Linked DNA regions of Arabidopsis thaliana. The protein of the gene in region 2 purifies or fractionates together with the protein of the main gene of each other region. This does not show direct contact. Each region holds a gene or a part of one and is shown on either strand. Other genes may lie near its edges.

What was found.
Region 1: the proteins of MAML-4 (region 2) and AT3G25880 fractionate together in Arabidopsis thaliana (co-fractionation; one large-scale study listed by BioGRID). This does not show direct contact.
Region 3: the proteins of MAML-4 (region 2) and AXL fractionate together in Arabidopsis thaliana (co-fractionation; one large-scale study listed by BioGRID). This does not show direct contact.

The regions. Positions count from the first base shown.
Region 1 is NC_003074.8:9,468,378-9,472,653, reverse strand, and holds AT3G25880 (NAD(P)-binding Rossmann-fold superfamily protein), read left to right. Parts: upstream 1-2,620; coding exon 2,621-2,667; intron 2,668-2,778; coding exon 2,779-2,934; coding exon of another isoform or gene 2,935-2,941; exon of another isoform or gene 2,942-3,040; coding exon 3,041-3,062; 3' UTR 3,063-3,549; downstream 3,550-4,276. Other genes in the region: NIMIN-2 (NIM1-interacting 2), read left to right, coding at 1,765-2,133.
Region 2 is NC_003070.9:6,367,048-6,374,142, reverse strand, and holds MAML-4 (methylthioalkylmalate synthase-like 4), read right to left. Parts: upstream 5,178-7,095; 5' UTR 4,797-5,177; coding exon 4,084-4,796; intron 3,994-4,083; coding exon 3,780-3,993; intron 3,681-3,779; coding exon 3,600-3,680; intron 3,256-3,599; coding exon 3,163-3,255; intron 3,045-3,162; coding exon 2,958-3,044; intron 2,855-2,957; coding exon 2,754-2,854; intron 2,532-2,753; coding exon 2,498-2,531; intron 2,411-2,497; coding exon 2,336-2,410; intron 2,075-2,335; coding exon 1,991-2,074; intron 1,901-1,990; coding exon 1,766-1,900; intron 1,682-1,765; coding exon 1,536-1,681; intron 1,415-1,535; coding exon 1,282-1,414; 3' UTR 1,063-1,281; downstream 1-1,062. Other genes in the region: TET16 (tetraspanin), read right to left, coding at 53-352, 432-878; AT1G18490 (2-aminoethanethiol dioxygenase, putative (DUF1637)), read right to left, coding at 5,503-5,633, 5,725-5,925, 6,004-6,172, 6,257-6,408, 6,832-7,027.
Region 3 is NC_003071.7:13,755,547-13,762,011, reverse strand, and holds AXL (AXR1-like protein), read right to left. Parts: upstream 4,420-6,465; 5' UTR 4,311-4,419; coding exon 4,273-4,310; intron 4,165-4,272; coding exon 3,992-4,164; intron 3,899-3,991; coding exon 3,735-3,898; intron 3,642-3,734; coding exon 3,531-3,641; intron 3,445-3,530; coding exon 3,365-3,444; intron 3,235-3,364; coding exon 3,084-3,234; intron 2,990-3,083; coding exon 2,896-2,989; intron 2,647-2,895; coding exon 2,558-2,646; intron 2,355-2,557; coding exon 2,281-2,354; intron 2,184-2,280; coding exon 2,021-2,183; intron 1,951-2,020; coding exon 1,865-1,950; coding exon of another isoform or gene 1,861-1,864; exon of another isoform or gene 1,759-1,860; coding exon of another isoform or gene 1,728-1,758; exon of another isoform or gene 1,686-1,727; coding exon 1,602-1,685; intron 1,516-1,601; coding exon 1,335-1,515; intron 1,234-1,334; coding exon 1,150-1,233; 3' UTR 860-1,149; downstream 1-859. Other genes in the region: AT2G32415 (Polynucleotidyl transferase, ribonuclease H fold protein with HRDC domain-containing protein), read left to right, coding at 1-17, 123-453, 642-705; GLR5 (glutamate receptor 5), read left to right, coding at 5,779-6,040, 6,390-6,465. UniProt on the Arabidopsis thaliana protein: Regulatory subunit of the dimeric ECR1-AXL1 E1 enzyme.

The DNA.
Region 1 (4,276 bases), on a different chromosome or scaffold from region 2:
CCATCAAGCAATTTTTATATGTGGAAAGTTTTTTCAAAAATTATTAGTAAGTGGACACGTCAGACAAAACAGAGAGTTGAAAAAAAAAAAACATAAGTGTAGAGAGAGCGAAAGACACAAGTGGAGCTGGTCGGAAGTTGGAAAGTTGGAAACAGCTTAGCCGCCCACGTCGGCCCTACAATTGATTCGACGTTGTTAAGATATAAAGCCCAATTATAATGTACTTAACTAAAAGGCTTTTACTTTAGGCCCATATGTAGATCTTTGTTTTCTTTTGTTAAAAGTTAAAACACCAATATCAATTAGTGCTTACATTATTCGAAAAATCATTACAAATTTACGTGTCATTTTAAATTGATAGTGGAAATAAATAAATAAATAAGACTAGGAATAATAATCGCAAGAAAATCTTCCCCACGTTAACGATGATCACAATTCACAAGTTCTTAGTCTTCCTTATTTATTTGTTGTTTGGCCAAATTTTTTTGGTCTTTGTTAAATTATAAAAATATAGATCTCTATGTATATAAAAATATGGGTAATATTAGAAACTAACTATGAAATGGAAAAGAATTGAGAGAATGACATTGTGTCAGAAAAGTTAGGTAAATAACATTTTCTGAAAAAGAGAAAATACAAAAATATCCTTGTGTTTACTTATTTTTACAATAATGCCATTGGCTTTAGTTATAAAGTTTATATGTATTTGTCTAAAATAGCATGATATATTTACAAAAATCATGCAATTCTTTAAAATACATACAGAATATATATACACGATATATATGTTTCTCTGAAATAATGTGTTTCTCAGAAATAGCACGAAATATTTATAAAAAGCATGCAATTCTCTTATAGATCGCGAAGTTTAAAAAAACATATAGAATTGTTACAATATTACATGGGTTTTTATTGGATAACATGACAAATATTTATTTATTTCATGAGTTTTTATTGGATAGCATGACAAATATTAATATATCAGTGTTAATAACATGTTTTGTTCTTAAAATACATGCATTTTAAAATCAGACATTTGTTTTAAAATCAAATCTAATCTCTTATATCACAACGACATTGACGGAAAATTCAGGTAAAAAGAGAAAATAAAGAATGAGAGATAGAGAGATTTCTATGGAAAAAGAAAGAGAGAACATGTAGGTGAACAAAATAAAGAGATATGATGATATATTTTATGAGAGGTGGTGAAGATTATTTTAGGAGAGGGAGAGAGAAATAGAAAAAGAAAATGACATGGTGAATCTGAAGAAGATGAATTGTGTTAAAGATGAAGAGAGAAAGAGAACTCCATGGCTAAAGTCTCGTAAAGAAGATGAAAAAGAAACAAAAGAAGGAAGAAGAAAGAGAAAGGCTAAAATAGACTAACTATTGCCAAAATTTCTGTAGCCGACAAATACTATTTGGTCCAAGGTTATTTTGTGTATTCTTTTGAAGTCAAAAGTTATTTCTTACATATACTCTAAAAATATAGCCGATACCAATTTTTCCACACATGGACTTCCTTTATTCCAAAAGTCAATAAAGTGTGACGTCATGATACTTACGCTTTAAAACATCGCATGATGATGTCATTAGCATCAATCTCCACCGTCCAATTTATTTAGTTGTTGACAATATCGACCGTCTAAGTTCCACACCGACGGCTATAAGAGTTTCATTATAAATTTTAGCAAAATAAAATCAGCAAATAATTTTTTCTTGACTAAGCTTAAACGACGCCGTTAACATTTTCTTCTGGCTAACATGAACAACTCTTTGAAGAAAGAAGAACGCGTAGAAGAAGATAACGGAAAATCTGACGGTAACAGAGGGAAACCGTCGACGGAAGTTGTTCGGACGGTAACGGAGGAAGAGGTGGATGAGTTTTTCAAGATATTACGGAGAGTACACGTGGCGACACGAACGGTTGCGAAAGTTAACGGCGGTGTTGCTGAGGGAGAGTTACCGTCTAAGAAGAGGAAACGGAGTCAGAATCTTGGGTTGAGAAACTCGTTGGATTGTAACGGCGTTCGAGACGGAGAATTCGATGAGATTAATCGGGTCGGGTTACAGGGTTTGGGTTTGGATCTGAACTGTAAACCGGAACCAGACAGCGTTAGTTTATCGTTGTAGACTTGTAGTCCTTCATGTTTTTCCCCTTCTTACAATAATCAATTTTTTTTTAACTACAATACTTTTGAAAAAAATGGTAAAAGAAGATTATTAACATGTTATCCAAATTTCAGATTCTTCAGTTTTATTTTATACGTCAAAAGAGAAGTTATATATTTGCAAAACTACAAGTCAAACAAAAGCTATTTAAGCGTTTGACGTTCCTAAACAACATAAATTTTACTAAAATCAATGTTTTAAAAAAGTGTTGATGGTAAAGATATCAATTGGGCCTTTGCCTGGCCCGTTTAGTAATATTGCAGAGTAGGTATGGGCCTGTATAAGGGAGTCCAAAAAAAGAGCGGGCATTGCGGGTTGGGTGCGTTTGGAACTTTGGATTGTGGATTAGTCATGGTTTATCTATTAATGTCTGCGGACTTGTGGACGACGCGCTTGTTCTTCTTCCTCTGTTTACGACTTACGAACATATGATCTCTCATCTCTAACAATGATGGAACCTAAAGCCAAGTACGATCGTCAACTCATGTATACTATGTTAGTCTCTTCGAACTCTACATTTGTATTATTCTATCGATCTTCGAACGAATCTTGTTGGGAGGAAATTTTATGAAGTAATCGTTGATTGATTAGGATTTTGAGGTGAAGTCAAGGGACTTTGGAAGAAGCGAGTATCTGTTTACTCAATTGTGGTCCTATTGGTTCCAATGCCTTGAAGAATCTCGTCCTTGGTGGTGTTGGTAGTATCACCATCGTTGAAGGATCCAAGGTTCTAATTGGAGACATTTGGAAACAATTTCATAGGTACTAAGTAATGACTAGTTTTTGATTTTTTTTGTTGCTATTTTTAGATGCTATTTGTGTAGTTAAATAGTTATGACATCTCTTTTTCGTCGTTGTTTGGTTATAGCTGGTGGAAGATTCAATGGTGAACCTAGATATTAACGATGGAGTAGACTGAACAGTTTGTGTTTGGTGATAACACAGAATTACAAAACTTGTGGAATAACCATTTATTACGGTCAAAGTCTCTTGTCTTCAAAGGCATGCAATAGAACAGAAGTTCTCCATAAGCGAAGGTTTCAGAGACGAGAACAACACTGTGTTTCAGAGACGAGAACAACACAGTGTGTTTCAGAGACAACTAGAACAGAACAGGATTGCGGGCCAGACCGTTAGACCAATGGACATTGCGAGGCGAATATGGGCTTCGATTGGTCGCATGTGGTCGTTGGCGGACCGGACCACCACTTATGGAAAAGAAGCACGGGCCATCACGGACCCCCCATTTGGTCGCGTGCTCGCCCGTCTGACATCCCTAGTTGATCGTCATCTAGATTTTAGACGTTTATGTGATATCTAAATAACCGTTTTGGCTGTCTAAAATTCCATAAGTTTTATTTTAGTTTATTTTTTAGTTTTCAACTATATAAATTTAAATTATAAGTTTTAGCTTTGTATATATTGTTTGTTTCCAACTATATAAATTTAAATTATAAGTTTTAGCTTTGTATATATTGTTTGTTTCCAACTATATCAATTTAAATTATAAGTTTTAGCTTTGTATATATTGTTTGCTATGAATTATAAATGGTTTTATCTAAGTTTTGTTTATAATTTCATATTTTTATTTTTCTAAGAGATAGTTTTCTATGAATTTTATTTATAATATAATATTTATAATATGTTATGTTGTAAATGTGTAGCCGCTTAAAATCTCCTAAATCATGATTAGACGTTCTAGGCGTAGATCACCACCTCTTAAGTAGCTAGTTAGATTTAGCAGATTATCCAGTTATCATGCAGATTAATTGTATTAGATAGATTTTGGTAAGATAGGTGAATTTAGCCTAATGCTTTTAAATTTATGTATTTTAAAATTAGTGAATACTGAATACTCATATTTCTTGCTTATGTATTTTGATTAATTTAAAATATACAATTTATTTCTATTAACTTGTTTTTATTATGTTATATTAATACAGAAATATATTTTATTTTTATTTGAAAACTATTTAAACCTCTAAAAAATCGTCTATCCACTAATTGACTAATTGTTCTAGCCCTTTAGGCATTAAGCAGAGAGTTATAGTCCATTTATTGTTTTCTTGACATTGGAAAATACTAATAATGCGTAATTATATTA
Region 2 (7,095 bases):
GAGAAACTAGAATTAAATATATATCATGTACATTTGATATGGAAAAATGAAATCAAGAATAATAGCCCCTATAATCATCAGGTTCATCGAAAGTATCCATAATGGACCTGGAAATGGCGAGGCTGAGACAAACGAGAAAGAGGGCAGGATAAGAGAACATGGAGAGATATTTCCATTGATGAACAATGGCTTTTAAGATGCTCATCTGGCAACCTCTGCAACTGAGACAGTATTCGTAAGAACATTCTTCCGGAACATGGTTCTCTACGTGTTGATGTTTCCAACTCCATTCTCCTGGTTGCCCGAACATTGTCGTCACTCCACATCCTCTTGGTTGCGCGCAGCAATACCTCTATATATATCATCATTGTTAGAGAATTGATCTTTTATTACGAATGAATCAGGATGAGGTGACATAATTAAGTACTTACCCAAACATTGCTGTTTTGGCTGGCATTGAAGTTACAGTCATGGTTATGAATGATGCACTCCGTGACTTTTGCAAGTTTACTTTCAGGGACTAGCCTGCCTACCAATTGCTTGGCGGTTCGCTTTTCCTCAGCCGGGTTCTTGGCGATTCCAAAGGTTGTGTTGTAGATGAAACACTTTAAAGAGTAGCCACCAAGGACAATGCTTACGAATATCATTGCATAGATGTAGATTGTGAACATACGTTTTGAGTGACAACAGATTGCGTAAAGAGCAAACTGAGGAATCACCAGCAAGAGCAAACCAATGACGACGAAACTGCCATCCGTTTCTCGGATACATTTCGAGACTGTTTTTCTGTAATATAAACCTGTTCCCGTCATTGTTAAGCCTATGCATATAAGGATTATGGTCGCCATTGTTAAGAACCCTGTTCGTATCTCTGACATTTTTTGCAAATCAGGAAATCTAAAATGACTCGTAGAGTATATGATGTTTTGACTTGTGTGATATATGAAGAGGTTGTAACAAAGAGACAAGGAATCAAGAACAGAGAGGTATCAGTTTTGTTTTTGAGTTTTAAGACCTTAGTTTAGTCTAAAGACAGCTTTTTGAAATAGGTTAAAACTGTTTAACGGTTGGTTTTTATTCCTTATTCTAAAACCATTATTTCTAAAAATAGAGATTCAAGTTAAATCAAGATATATATAGTACACCAAACTCTTTTGACATGCAACTTCGATAAACAACAAGCAAACTCCGAAACTCCAGTTATTACCAAACTATGTACTTGAAAATAAAAGAACCTAACTTCTGTCTGACTTTTTGGTATTTGCCGGAAAGATTTTTAATTCAGGCAGCGACTCTGTTTTTTTGGGAAGGGATTTTTGTGGCGGAGTTTTCTTTGAAGTCCATCATTTTGTTCAAAGCTCCAACATAAGCTTTGACGCTTGACACCACAATATCCATTCCTGCTCCAGTTCCACTGCCAAACACAAGACAACCGGTTTGGTGTTATAATACAAGCAAGAATCAACAAGAAACAATAAACTTCGCAGATAAATCGATCCGGTTTGAATGAGATATGGGGCAAAAGAGGATTTTACCTAAAGGTTCTTTGAACCTCTTCACCAGTTATTGCGTTTGTAGATGAGTATTTGTTGCTTCCACGGATAAGAACTCTTGTGGTTGCGATGGCATCAATGCCTTCTGTTACTGCATTCATTGAGTACTCAAGCAGAGTAGCCGGTTCCTAAAGGGGGAAAAAGGTTTTCAATAAGCGATGACCCACTGGTGAGTTATTTGTAGATGAGAGCCTCAGCGGTATAAACAGTACCTTTACGATAAGATCTACTGCCTTGTAAGCTGAATCCACAGGCCCAGTTCCAATAGAACAAGCGACATGTTCTTTGCCATCAGCGTCAGCAAGTTTTACAGTTGCTGTTGAAAGCCCGAGAGTTCCACAAGTTATCTGCATTCCACTTTTAAGTACCATGAGAATTGGATAAAGACAATGAACAAGAAAAAAGAGTAAGAAAGCACATTATGATCCCAATTTCACCTGAATGTCCAGGAGTTTCCACACGGCTTCTGGCTGGAAAACTTCATCAGATACTAAAGCTATTATGTCCGCATCAGTAACTCTCTGGATCAGCAAGGGAACATATACGATCAGAAGACATTACATTAACAAATCAAGAGCACTAGAAAATAGAAAGAGTAATCCTCTACACATCCTAAGTTTATGCAGCCAGAACTAAGGAAACAAAGTACATTCCAAATTAGCCACGGAGACTCAAGTCTTATAGGTCTAACAAAGCTTTCAAAATGGCTGCGAAGCTTTTATTTGGAATTGAAAACGCAAGTTAGGTTTCCGAGGAAATACACAATAACCAAAAGCAACTACCTTTTTCTGCTCAGCCACGGTTTTGAAGCGCCAGAAAATGGTACTTAGCTGTTCATCATCTAATTGATAACCAAGCTGGAAATGTACAAAAGATAAGAGAACATTAGTGTCTCCCACAAAGATGGCAATACAAGTATTTGTATGTGTAAGATTGCTGTGCACCTCAGTCAAACGGTCTTTCAGCGCATGACGCCCACTGCATAATATATATCCAAGCAAAAGTAGAGACCAACAGTTAGACTTCTGGTTTCAAACACATATGTAGTGTACACTAGCTTATAAATTGGAAAAAAAAAATGACGCCTAATAACGTCTCGAAATTATCAGCATATCCACCAATTACAGTCTAGTTGCATTGTCTGAACAAGAAAAGGACAAATTACAGGCAAAACAGACTAAACAAGAATAACTTTCATACCTAAGCTTCCCCAAGACAATGCCAGCATCATTTGATCGTTCAAGTCCAATTTCTTCGGGACATATAATTTCATATGTACCCTTGTGTTTCAGCATTCCATCCTAAAAATGTAAAAGAGTCATTTAAGTTCAACAAGAACAATAATCATGAAGAAAAGAGGACCGTTAGGCACTAGACTGAAAGAGTGAACATGCAAATATTAACCTGGTGAATTCCACTTTCATGCGCAAAGGCATTCGCTCCTACAATAGCCTTATGAGGTTGTGTCTGCATCCCAGTGTACTCCTCTACCTGAGAAAACAAGCCACTAGTTATGAGACAGCTTATGTGGAAATCTACAAACTTTTTCCTCTTAAGAAAAAGTAATATTTGTTTTCACAATGTAAAGAATAAAGTTCAAAAGAGGTACCATCTTGCTTGTCATAACAATGTGCCGAGTATCAATTCCGGTAAATAGACCTCCTAATACATGATCTCCACGGCATTTTATGGCCATCACAACCTACACTTACACGAAAATCATCATGTAAGGATTATATATCCCATTGCAGCGTAAGCAGAAAATAAACTGAAAGTCTAAAACGCCTACCCTGAGACAATCTCACCCACATGTTCTTCTTCAGGTAATTATAGCCAAGGGCCAAGGCTATACTAAGACTCATTACTTAGACATTTGGCCTTTTAAAATCTTACTAGAGAATATTATTCCAGATATCTCACTGCTACTGATAATGAAAAGGTACTACTCGGTTCTACAGAATTGTCTTGCTCAGTAAGATCAAGCCCCAAAAAAGATTTCAATGCAGGAAAGGTTCACATGTCTTGACAAATTAATAAAACTCTGACCTCTTCCAGTGAAGCGTTTCCAGCTCTTTCACCAATTCCATTGATCGTCACTTCCATCTGCCTCGCACCTGCATGTGCCCCCTGAATTCAAAAAGGTAATCACACACACATTAGCATCACATATATTCACTGGTTTGAATCAGCTTAGTTGTTCCGAGTATAAAAAAAAAAAAGACATACAGATAAAGTGTTGGCCGTAGAGAGTCCAAGATCATTCTGACAATGTGTTGAGATGACAACATTTTCAATCCCCGGAGTATTGGCCTTTAAATCAGTAATCAGTTGACCAAACTCACTAGGCAAAGTTATACCAACAGTATCAGGTATGTTGAGAGTTGTTGCTCCTGCTTTTATCACTTCACCAAGAATCTCGTATAAGTACTCTCTCTCCGATCTACAGAACAAAAAAAAAAAACATTTTTCAATCATCACCATAAAAATAAAAGTACGAATCTTTACCAAGGAATCTTAATAAAAATCGAACCTTCCTGCATCTTCTGGACTGAACTCAACATCTTCGCACCCCAAGCTCCTCGCGAATCTAACCATACTCCTAGCGATTTCGATGACCTCTGCTTTGGTTTTCTTTAGTTTATACTCCAAATGTATATCACTAGTAGCTATAAAAGTATGAATCCTAGGCCGTTTAGCGTATTTCACAGCATCCCAAGCTCTCTCAATATCCTTCTTATTGCATCTAGAGAGTCCACAGATAACAGGAACATAACCATTCTCATCAACAGTGTTTCCAACTGTTTCAGCTATAGTCTTAACCGCTTCAAAATCATCCTTGGAAGCAGCAGGAAACCCAGCCTCGATGATGTCAACACCAAGTTTAGCTAGCTGACGAGCGATGTCAAGTTTTTCCTTGGAAGTAAGTGTAGCTCCTGGAGATTGTTCACCGTCACGGAGAGTAGTATCGAAGACGCGGACGTAGTTTGGATCGGAAATGCGGTTGGGGATGTATTCAGGACGGGGACGGCGAGGAGTGTGAGGTGGTAGTGGAGAAGGATCTGAGATTGAGCATGAGAGACGGAGGGTTTGACTTCGGAGGGAGATTGAACGGTGGTGAGATGGTTGGAAACGGAAAGAGGAGGAGATAGGTGTGGGTTTAGAGGAGAAGGTGGGAAGAAAAGAAGTGGTGGTGATTGTTGTTGATGAGTAGAGATTAGGGTTTCTCAGAAGCGAAGACGCCATTGAAGGAGAGGTCTCAGAGAGATAGAGAGATGAAGGTTTCAACGTGACGGTGGCGGCGGCTAAGTTTGATTCAGTAGTGCTAATCTTCTCGTCACTACTCTCTTCTCTTTATGTAAAAAATTGTTTTTTGTTTGACCCACGTGGAAAAATACCAAATTGGGATTAAAAATGATTTGACGACGACCATTGGGTAATTTGGTTCCTAATTTTAACGGTATATCGTCGTTACCCACGAGGAAGAAGAAGCAGAGTCAAACTGAAAAAACTGGAATTTAATTTTCAAATTCGGAGAAGAAGACAGTCTTATTGATTCAGCTGCATCACTGTTACACTCTTGCGGAAGATTTTATAGCGGGCACATTAGAATTCGTTTTTTTTTTCCCGCTGGATAATCGTAACGATCTTTTCCTCTACTTCTCTTCCGATTAAGTTGTGAAACAAAGAGACACTCTTAACAAAGTTGTGAAAGCTGTTATCAGTGATGTAAGCACAGATTCGAAATGAAATCTTAACATTTCTCATTGCCGATCTATTTGTAGTTTTCCGCAGTTTCATTTGCTTGAATGCGTGTGAGAACTGAGAAGTGGACATGGACTAAACAAAGAGTTCATCTTTAATCTGAAATCGTATTGATATCTTCTCCAGAAACTTATCTTGGAATGTTACAAGAGTTGCTCTACTTTGCTACAAAACAAACCACAAATATCTAGACTCTGATAGTTGGACCAGTATATGATCCGGGACGCATGTGAAGATCATCGGGCGTGTCAATCTGTACAAGCCATGCGTATTCGTCTTCCTTTCCTTCATCCACCTTCTTCATTCCGTTCTCCAATGCTATTATTATCAATCCAAAGAGAAAAAACGGTAAACGAAAACAGAGTAACATAATGTTCTTCTAAAGGCAAAAGAGAGAAAGTTTGCATACCGAAAGTGGAAAACGGATAGTCCATGTAGTAACTGCAACTCCTGCCAACACTTTCTTTGTAAGGAGGTGAGAGAATGTCGAGCACAGCACATGGAGTCAACGCAGTGAAGCAATGGAGATTGCCTCCAGTCTTTGGGTACAACGCCGGTATCTCAGACTGAGGCGTTATAACTTTGTCACTCACCAATTTCGCCAACCTTGCTGTTATACAAGTAGTTGCAAGAAGTCTTAATTATCAATGACACAAAGTGAAACCCAAGATGAGAAACTAACAATAACCTGGAAGAGAACCGGGGACGCCTTTATCTTGTGTGATAATACATGGAGGTTCGACCCAATCGTAAGCTTTAACATGAAGTGATCCATAGAGGATTTTACTAAACACAGCCATCTCTGGATGATCATGCAATGGGATCACTGAAGACGTTGGGAAGCAGAAAATACACATCTGAAGAAAGGACAAACAAACACTTGTGTTTTGAGATTTGTTGATTGATCAGCAGAAAGAATTCAGTATCAATCAAAGACTTACTGTAAAAGTATCACATTCATGAATGTCTAAGAATGTTATCGGTTGTGCCCATCGTCCTACTCTATTGAAACGGCTAACCCCAGAAACTCCATAGCCTCGATCATCGTCTTGAGATACCTCTTCAAGCCCAACATCTGCAGGACTAACTGAGTCTGCACACAAGAATGACCAAAAAACAAATCACACTTCTGCTTATAAAACAAACATTCCCCAAATTCTAACTTCAACTCTCACCACAATGAACCATAAAATCACTGATCCTAGTAGTCCCTCTATGAAGAATAGATTGATATATTAATATATGATATTTCTTCTCTAAAAATCCTAAATTTGCATCATGTATACATCAAAGTTACAAGATTTGCACTTCTCAGAGACTCTGACGATTTCAAATTGTGAATCTGCAATTGGCCAGATTTGGTGGATCAAATGAGTTTCCACATTTATTCAAATCCAACAAAACAACGTTAAACCCTTTAACTAGGTCACTGATTCGATCAAAACTAGCTGCAATTGCAATAACCCTATCGCAGTAGGAGAAAATCAAACAGAGACAAAAGAAGAAAGAAAAATACCCAACACAGAGCATAGCTTTTGGATAGCCATGGAAGCAGGAGAAGGAGCTTTGCCAGTGAAAGTCTCTTTGCAGAGGTCGTAAAGCTCTTGCACTTTGGGAGATTTCTCCTGATTCCTCGACGCCATGTAAATGTCTTTCTTGCTAACGAGATTCGACAAAACCTTTTCACCTGCCTTGAACAATCTCGACAACATTTTTTGTTTTTCTCTTCAAACTTTTTGTGTGTCGGTAATTGTTCGAATGTTCTTATCCGAGAGTGATT
Region 3 (6,465 bases), on a different chromosome or scaffold from region 2:
TATGGACAAACAAGAAGGTAACCATATAATAAGCATTGAAAATTGTGTTGGTTGATAAAGTGTAAGATATGATGATCCTTTGATATCCAGAAATACTGATGCAAACAACTTCGTATCTTTAGATGAAAACAATGATGGGGAGGCTCTTGCAGATTTTGAGAAAATTATGACTGTAGAAAGGAGCACAGTTGTTGATGATAGTGGTGATGGTACAAGTGAAGGAGATGGAGCTAAAGAGCTAAATGATACTCAGTGTAATGGGAATACGTTGCACCAACAAAACTCCAAACTCTCTTTGTTAGGACATGGACCGCACGGGAAACAGATCGTAGAATATCTTTTAAGGGAACATGGAGAAGATGGTGTACGTGATTTCTGTCAAAGGTGGAGAAAAGTGTTTGTTGATGCTGTTCATCCTCGCCATTTACCTGGTGGTTGGAATGTTAGTCACAGGTAAACCTTAGATTTACGTCTTCTTTTTAATTATAAACTTGAGGTTCTACTTGGATGTTTATCATATCTTGTTGTGACATGAGACAAGTAACAACTTTTGTGTTAGAGAACCAAAAGTCTTTGAATTTACTAAAAGTGAATTTATGTGGACCTTGTTCTTTACAAGGGTTTGATTGTTTTGTTGCTAGTGGCCGAAGAGACTTTGGAGAATTCAGCGTTTACAATCCCACAAAGAGACTCTCCACCGAGTAGATTTGTCTGTTTCTGTACCATCTCTACCGTTTCGTCAATTTTGGATTGTCATAATCTAGGATTATTTTGTAATCCCCCGACCGCATCAGTGGTTTGTTGTTGTATTCTTCTGTAGACCTCTGTACTTTGTTTTAGCCAAAAGTCTGATCCTTTTAAAATTGCAGTATATGACTATTTTGAAACGATACCAGAATTTTGCTTTAGGAAAGTCATACAAAAATGGCTCTATGCCCATCACTTAACGCGAGCTCTTCGGTTTTGAACCGCGGCTCAAAATCAATCAATATACATGAGGAATTCGAAACTGTTTCTACAAAGAAATGATATCTAGTTAGTCTGGTGTATAGCAGAATAAAAACTCCAAGAAAAGGTTAAGTTTCAACTTGAAGTGAGGGTAAAAGATATGTTGGAGTTCTTCTGCAGCCACCAGTGTCTAAGAATCTTCTATAATGTCAAAGACTGAGACTTGTGATCAATGCCGTTGAAGATGAAAGTTCCTCGCTTGGGAACAAACTGCTTTGTGATGAGCTGCAAACATTGCCAAACCATAAAAGAGGTTAATGTTTGTTTCACACTCCTATTTGATACTGCGGGGTAACCATTTTGAGCAACATGGATATGAAACGAACCTTGATCACTTCTTGAGATGTGATTCCTCCTATTAAAGCAGCAACCACGTGAATCTCTGCAGCACCAAATCTACACATCTCATTGTACAGTTCTTCCTGAAGTTCATAGCCGTCACAACCCATTTCACTAAGAAGACTCAGGGCAATAGTCTTTAACTGGGATGCGTCCTCATCAGTTGATCTATGAGAAAAGAGACATGTTAATGGCCTAACAATGCCAAAATTATTCAAGATACAATCAAATTTTGCCAGAATGTGTTCTCTTACCCATCAAACTGTCCAGGAAACTTCTTATAGGTACCAGCAAATCTATCAACAGCTCTAAGAAGAATATAAAATCCAATTGCGCCACTGCAAGAGGAATAAACAGAAAAGTGGTAAGACCCTTAAGAGCTAACAGCAACATGCCTCCAAAATGCTGCAACTGTAAATATTATTTTTCAGTTCTACAAATATACTCCAGTAATATTTTTGTTATCACAGTCTCTATGGTCGTATAAAAGAATCAATTTTGACGAAGTCATTCTTACCTGTAATTCTCATCAGCCAAGTACTTATGTAGTTCTGTTGTAGAAGGACTTTTGAACTCGTCTTCTATCGTTCTATATCTGCAGACCTACAAGGCGCAATTCCCGGTTTTAATGATACAGTACACATCAAATTGTAAGAAATTTCAGCATTCTCACTTTAAGTTTTCGTGCATTCTTGCAGAAGCTCTTGATAGTTGGCTTTGAGATGCTACTTGGATCCTGACCAACTTTAACTAGAATACTTTTTACTCTCTGTTCCATGGAAAGAAAATCAGCTTCCGCTTTGGAATGGTAGATTTTCTGCAAATTGATGTAGTGCCTGCAAAAGATACAATACAGCTATATAGTAATCTGATAAAGGTGATGGACGAATTTTATCCCTCCCATGAAACAAAAGCAAGAACAGGAGAACTTACTCTGTGGAAGATATCATATCAGGCATGGAACCTTCAAGTGGTACCTCCCCACCACCTTCATTTGAAATAAACTCCTGCAGATGATGCATATAATAAGTAGGGTTAACTTGGATCAGAAAAATCTGAGGAATTTGAGCCATGTTGATGGGAATCAGAAAAAAAAGCTAACTTGGATCAAAAAAATACTAAAACCCCAACAAACGTTCTCAACCCCTTCCATGTTTGAAATATCAATATGAAGTATGTGCTTTGAAGTGAGGTCTTTCAAGTTACAAACCTTGAGTGCTGCTACCATTACCCAAAAATCTGAGGAATTTGAGCCAACTTCAGCACAACTATCATGATTAATGTCTTGAATCTCTTGGCCTGGAGAAAAAGAAAACATGTTTAGTTCAATGTGAAAACTGACTTCATATTTTGAACTCCAATGTTAACTGATCTGTTATGAATGAGCAGCAATGAATCATGCTTCATGAAAATAGTAGATAGTTGTCCATTTGGTTCTCGTTGCAGTTTTTCCCATTCTCCAACCAATTTCTTTATTTCCAGCATCTATAGTATATATTTAAAAGTCCAGTTTCCACCGATGTCAAGACGAGGTGTATGTATACTTACTGATTCCTGTAGGAGCAAAGACTTTGAAAGCTGCAAGAAGGGCTTCTTTGTAATTTTCTTCATCCGCTGATACCATCTTGGACTTAACTAAGTCCTAAAATTTCAAGGAGTAAGAGAGATAAAGACAAGGAATCACAAGAAAAACAAAGATTAATAACTGTTTGCTGATTAACAAAAAGTAAGGATACCTTAAACTCGTTTTTCTCTTCCCTGGTTGATGGAAGGTTGCCGCTATGGTGTTGAGCCCATTCTTCAGCCACCTTGACTAGAATGACGACGTAAGGAATGTGCTTATGGGCAGCGGGTTCTTCTACATTTAGATCAATGGACTCCACATAGCTGCAGATCATTGAATAAATAAGATTTTCTTTCAACTGGTTGCAAGTTTGTGGAGATTAAAAGTAATTTGAAACACAAGTTTAAAGAATGGCAAGAACACATAACGAGTGAGAAGATTGAAGCAGAGTACCTCTTCAGCTCAGGCCATGGACTATTCAAGCGGAGATCATCAAGAGAATGATCAGGCTTTGTCTCAATAGCGGTGTGTTCCTGACAGGAAAGAGCGAACATGACATAGCAGTTAGCAGACAGACCATATGACAAGTGACAAAGCACTCTATCCACAAAAATCTTACCTTTACACTGATACGAACAAACCCAGTAAGTCCATAGGAGCGAGCCAAAACCAACATGACGTTTGCTTCCCGGCAGATTCTATCTAATTTCACCATTGAATCTTCTACTAGCTACAATCAACACATGACAAACTAATAAGGCAAACGCTCTGTGAAAATCTGAAAACAAAGACTAGAAACTATCTAATCCTCAACATAATGTACCTGAGTGGCGATAACTAGAGTGAACTGAGAGAAGAAAGATGGGTCTGTCGATATCAAAGTGTCTGGATTCTCCTCAACAAAATTTGCTTTAACAGAATCGTTAAGCTCCTGAAGAAAGCCACAGACCGTTTTGGCTCTTGACTGACCAACGCTCTTCGCATCCACTGAAACATCAACAACAATCATCAATAAATGTCAATAAACAGCAAATAGAAGAAACGCATTGCTTAAGAAAGATGAAAAAGAGAGAATTATACCCATGAAATTGTTTCCAAGGTCGCCAATTTCTACTTTAGATCCGTCGACAATGGTGATACTTCCGATTCCACCAATAACAAGATTCTTTAGAGCCTCAGAGCCAGTTGGACCACAATTGAGCAAACATATGCTCGCGGTTTCAAGAGCTGATTGACCTAATTCTCCCCAAATCCTATGAATTTATCCCCAATCATCACAATTTGAGCGAAATTAAGAAGAATGATGAAAGAGACAGAGAAGTTGAAGAAGAGAAAGAGAGTTGGGAGGAGAAAGAGTGCACCTTAGCTGACGATCATACTTGGTTTTGGGTTCCGCCATTGTTGGTTCGTGCTCGAGTCTTTCGCGGGTTTTTCAGTGGTTCGTGTTCTCAACTTCAGACAGAGAGAAAGAGAAAGACGCAGAGAGAGAGAGAGAGAGAGAGAGAGAGAGAGAGAGGTTGTGACTTGTAAGAAAGAAAGGGAATGGCATTTAATAAGAGAACCTTAAGTTGTCTCCTTTCTTTATTTCCTTCCTAATTTGGAACATTTACAAAGTTTAGGGCTTAATTGTAATTTTTAAAAATTAAGACTGTATTATTGCAAAAACACCTTAATGTATAAAAGAGATAACAAATTATAAATAAAAACATATAATTTAAAATAAAATCAAAATTTATGTTTTCTGGATTGAGTTTTCATTTATTAAAATATATATATACATGGAAACATATCAAAATTTTATATAAATTGTAAAAATAAATGACATAGCTAGAAAAAAACACATATGTAATTTAATTAAATATTATTAGATGAATAAGTGATAAAATCTCATTATGTAATAGTTTTTTGCCGCCTAAAAATCTTTATTATGAATAAAAAACGCCAACTCAAATTTTGCCTTGCTACGGGTCTCTCTTTATGCAAAAATAAAATGAAATACTATTAACATTTCATTGACAAATTAACTTAAGAGAATAAACTTTTGAGAAGAAATAAAATGATTAACACATGGCAATTAAAATATTTATATTGTAATCTAATCTTAAATAAACTTAACAAAATGGGCCGTTACATGTAGGGCCCAATAATGATGGGCCCCACTGAAAACAAAAATACAAACAAACGGCTGCTGTGACTATAGAGTATATAGACTAGATAGGACTTTGTGAGCTCGAATCAAAAAAGCACTTCAGTCACACGTTTTTCAATTTCTCTCTTCTATTTTGTTCTCAGAAGAAGAAGAATGATGGATGAATTTCTGGGCATGATTTGATCTCTCTAGTTTTGTTTCTCTTCCTTTAGTAATCTCCTGTCAAATCATGGTTTTTTAAAAAAGATAGTTCTTGACTTCTCTTGTTAAAAATTCGTTGCGTTGTCGTAAAATTTCCCTTTTTTAACTTATGCCTACAAAGTGTTTGCGTATATTCCGCAGAGAGAACCAGAAGGTAGCTCAAAGAGGTAAAGAGAATGTCTCACTGTTGTTAATTTCAATGAATTTGTAAAAACTCTTTTTCAGATTTTTCTTCTGTCCGGATGAGTTTGTGTATATAAGTCTTCATATCCACATTGTTGCTAGTTTTCAGCTAAAATAATCAATTTGGTTTGACTTGTGATTGCTCTTCGCTTAGATCTTGATTCGTCTTCTAATCGCATTGACTCTACAGGTCAAAGTTGGAAACTTTACCTTGCTTAGTTCTCTAATCTTCTCATCCTCAATGCTGAATGAAGAGTTGCTAGATTTAAATGAGATGGTTCTAGTTCCAACACAAACTATCTGAAGTGGTCCTTACTTTGATTGCATTATCTCCATGGGACTGGGCATTGACCCATCTGTCGCTATTACGGCACTGATTGTGGTCATTCTGGTGGTTCCAATGGATTGCCAAAGACCTCAACTGGTGAACATCGGTGCTGTTTTTGCTTTTGATTCGGTTATCGGAAGAGCTGCAAAAGTAGCTCTAGAGGCAGCTGTTTCCGATGTGAACAATGATAAAAGCTTTCTCAAAGAAACGGAGCTACGGCTATTAATGGAGGATTCTGCCTGCAATGTCTTTCGTGGGTCCTTTGGAGGTACCGTGACTGTTCTTCTAGTTCTTTTGTGTTTCAAACACTTGTGACACTCATCCATGGCTGATACAGTATATCAAACATATTATAGAAAGCGGTCAATGCACATCAGTAGCAACAATATTTCATTTTGTGATAGTTGGAAATGATTGGCACATCGATTTACGTTTTAATCCGTTTTTTATTGGTACATATTTTGGGTTCCGAATGCTAATAATGCATAGAACAATATAGACCGCATACCCTAAACAGGCTGTTACTAGGACCTGTGTTTCCTGTACATAAGTGGAAACAAAACTTTGGTTTTACCACTAAGGGCCTGGTTTAAGCTTCAGTGGTTTTTGTTTTGCAGCTTTTGAATTGCTTGAGAAAGAAGTGGTGGCTATGATCGGTCCAATTTCATCCTCTGTTGCTCATACAATTTCCGA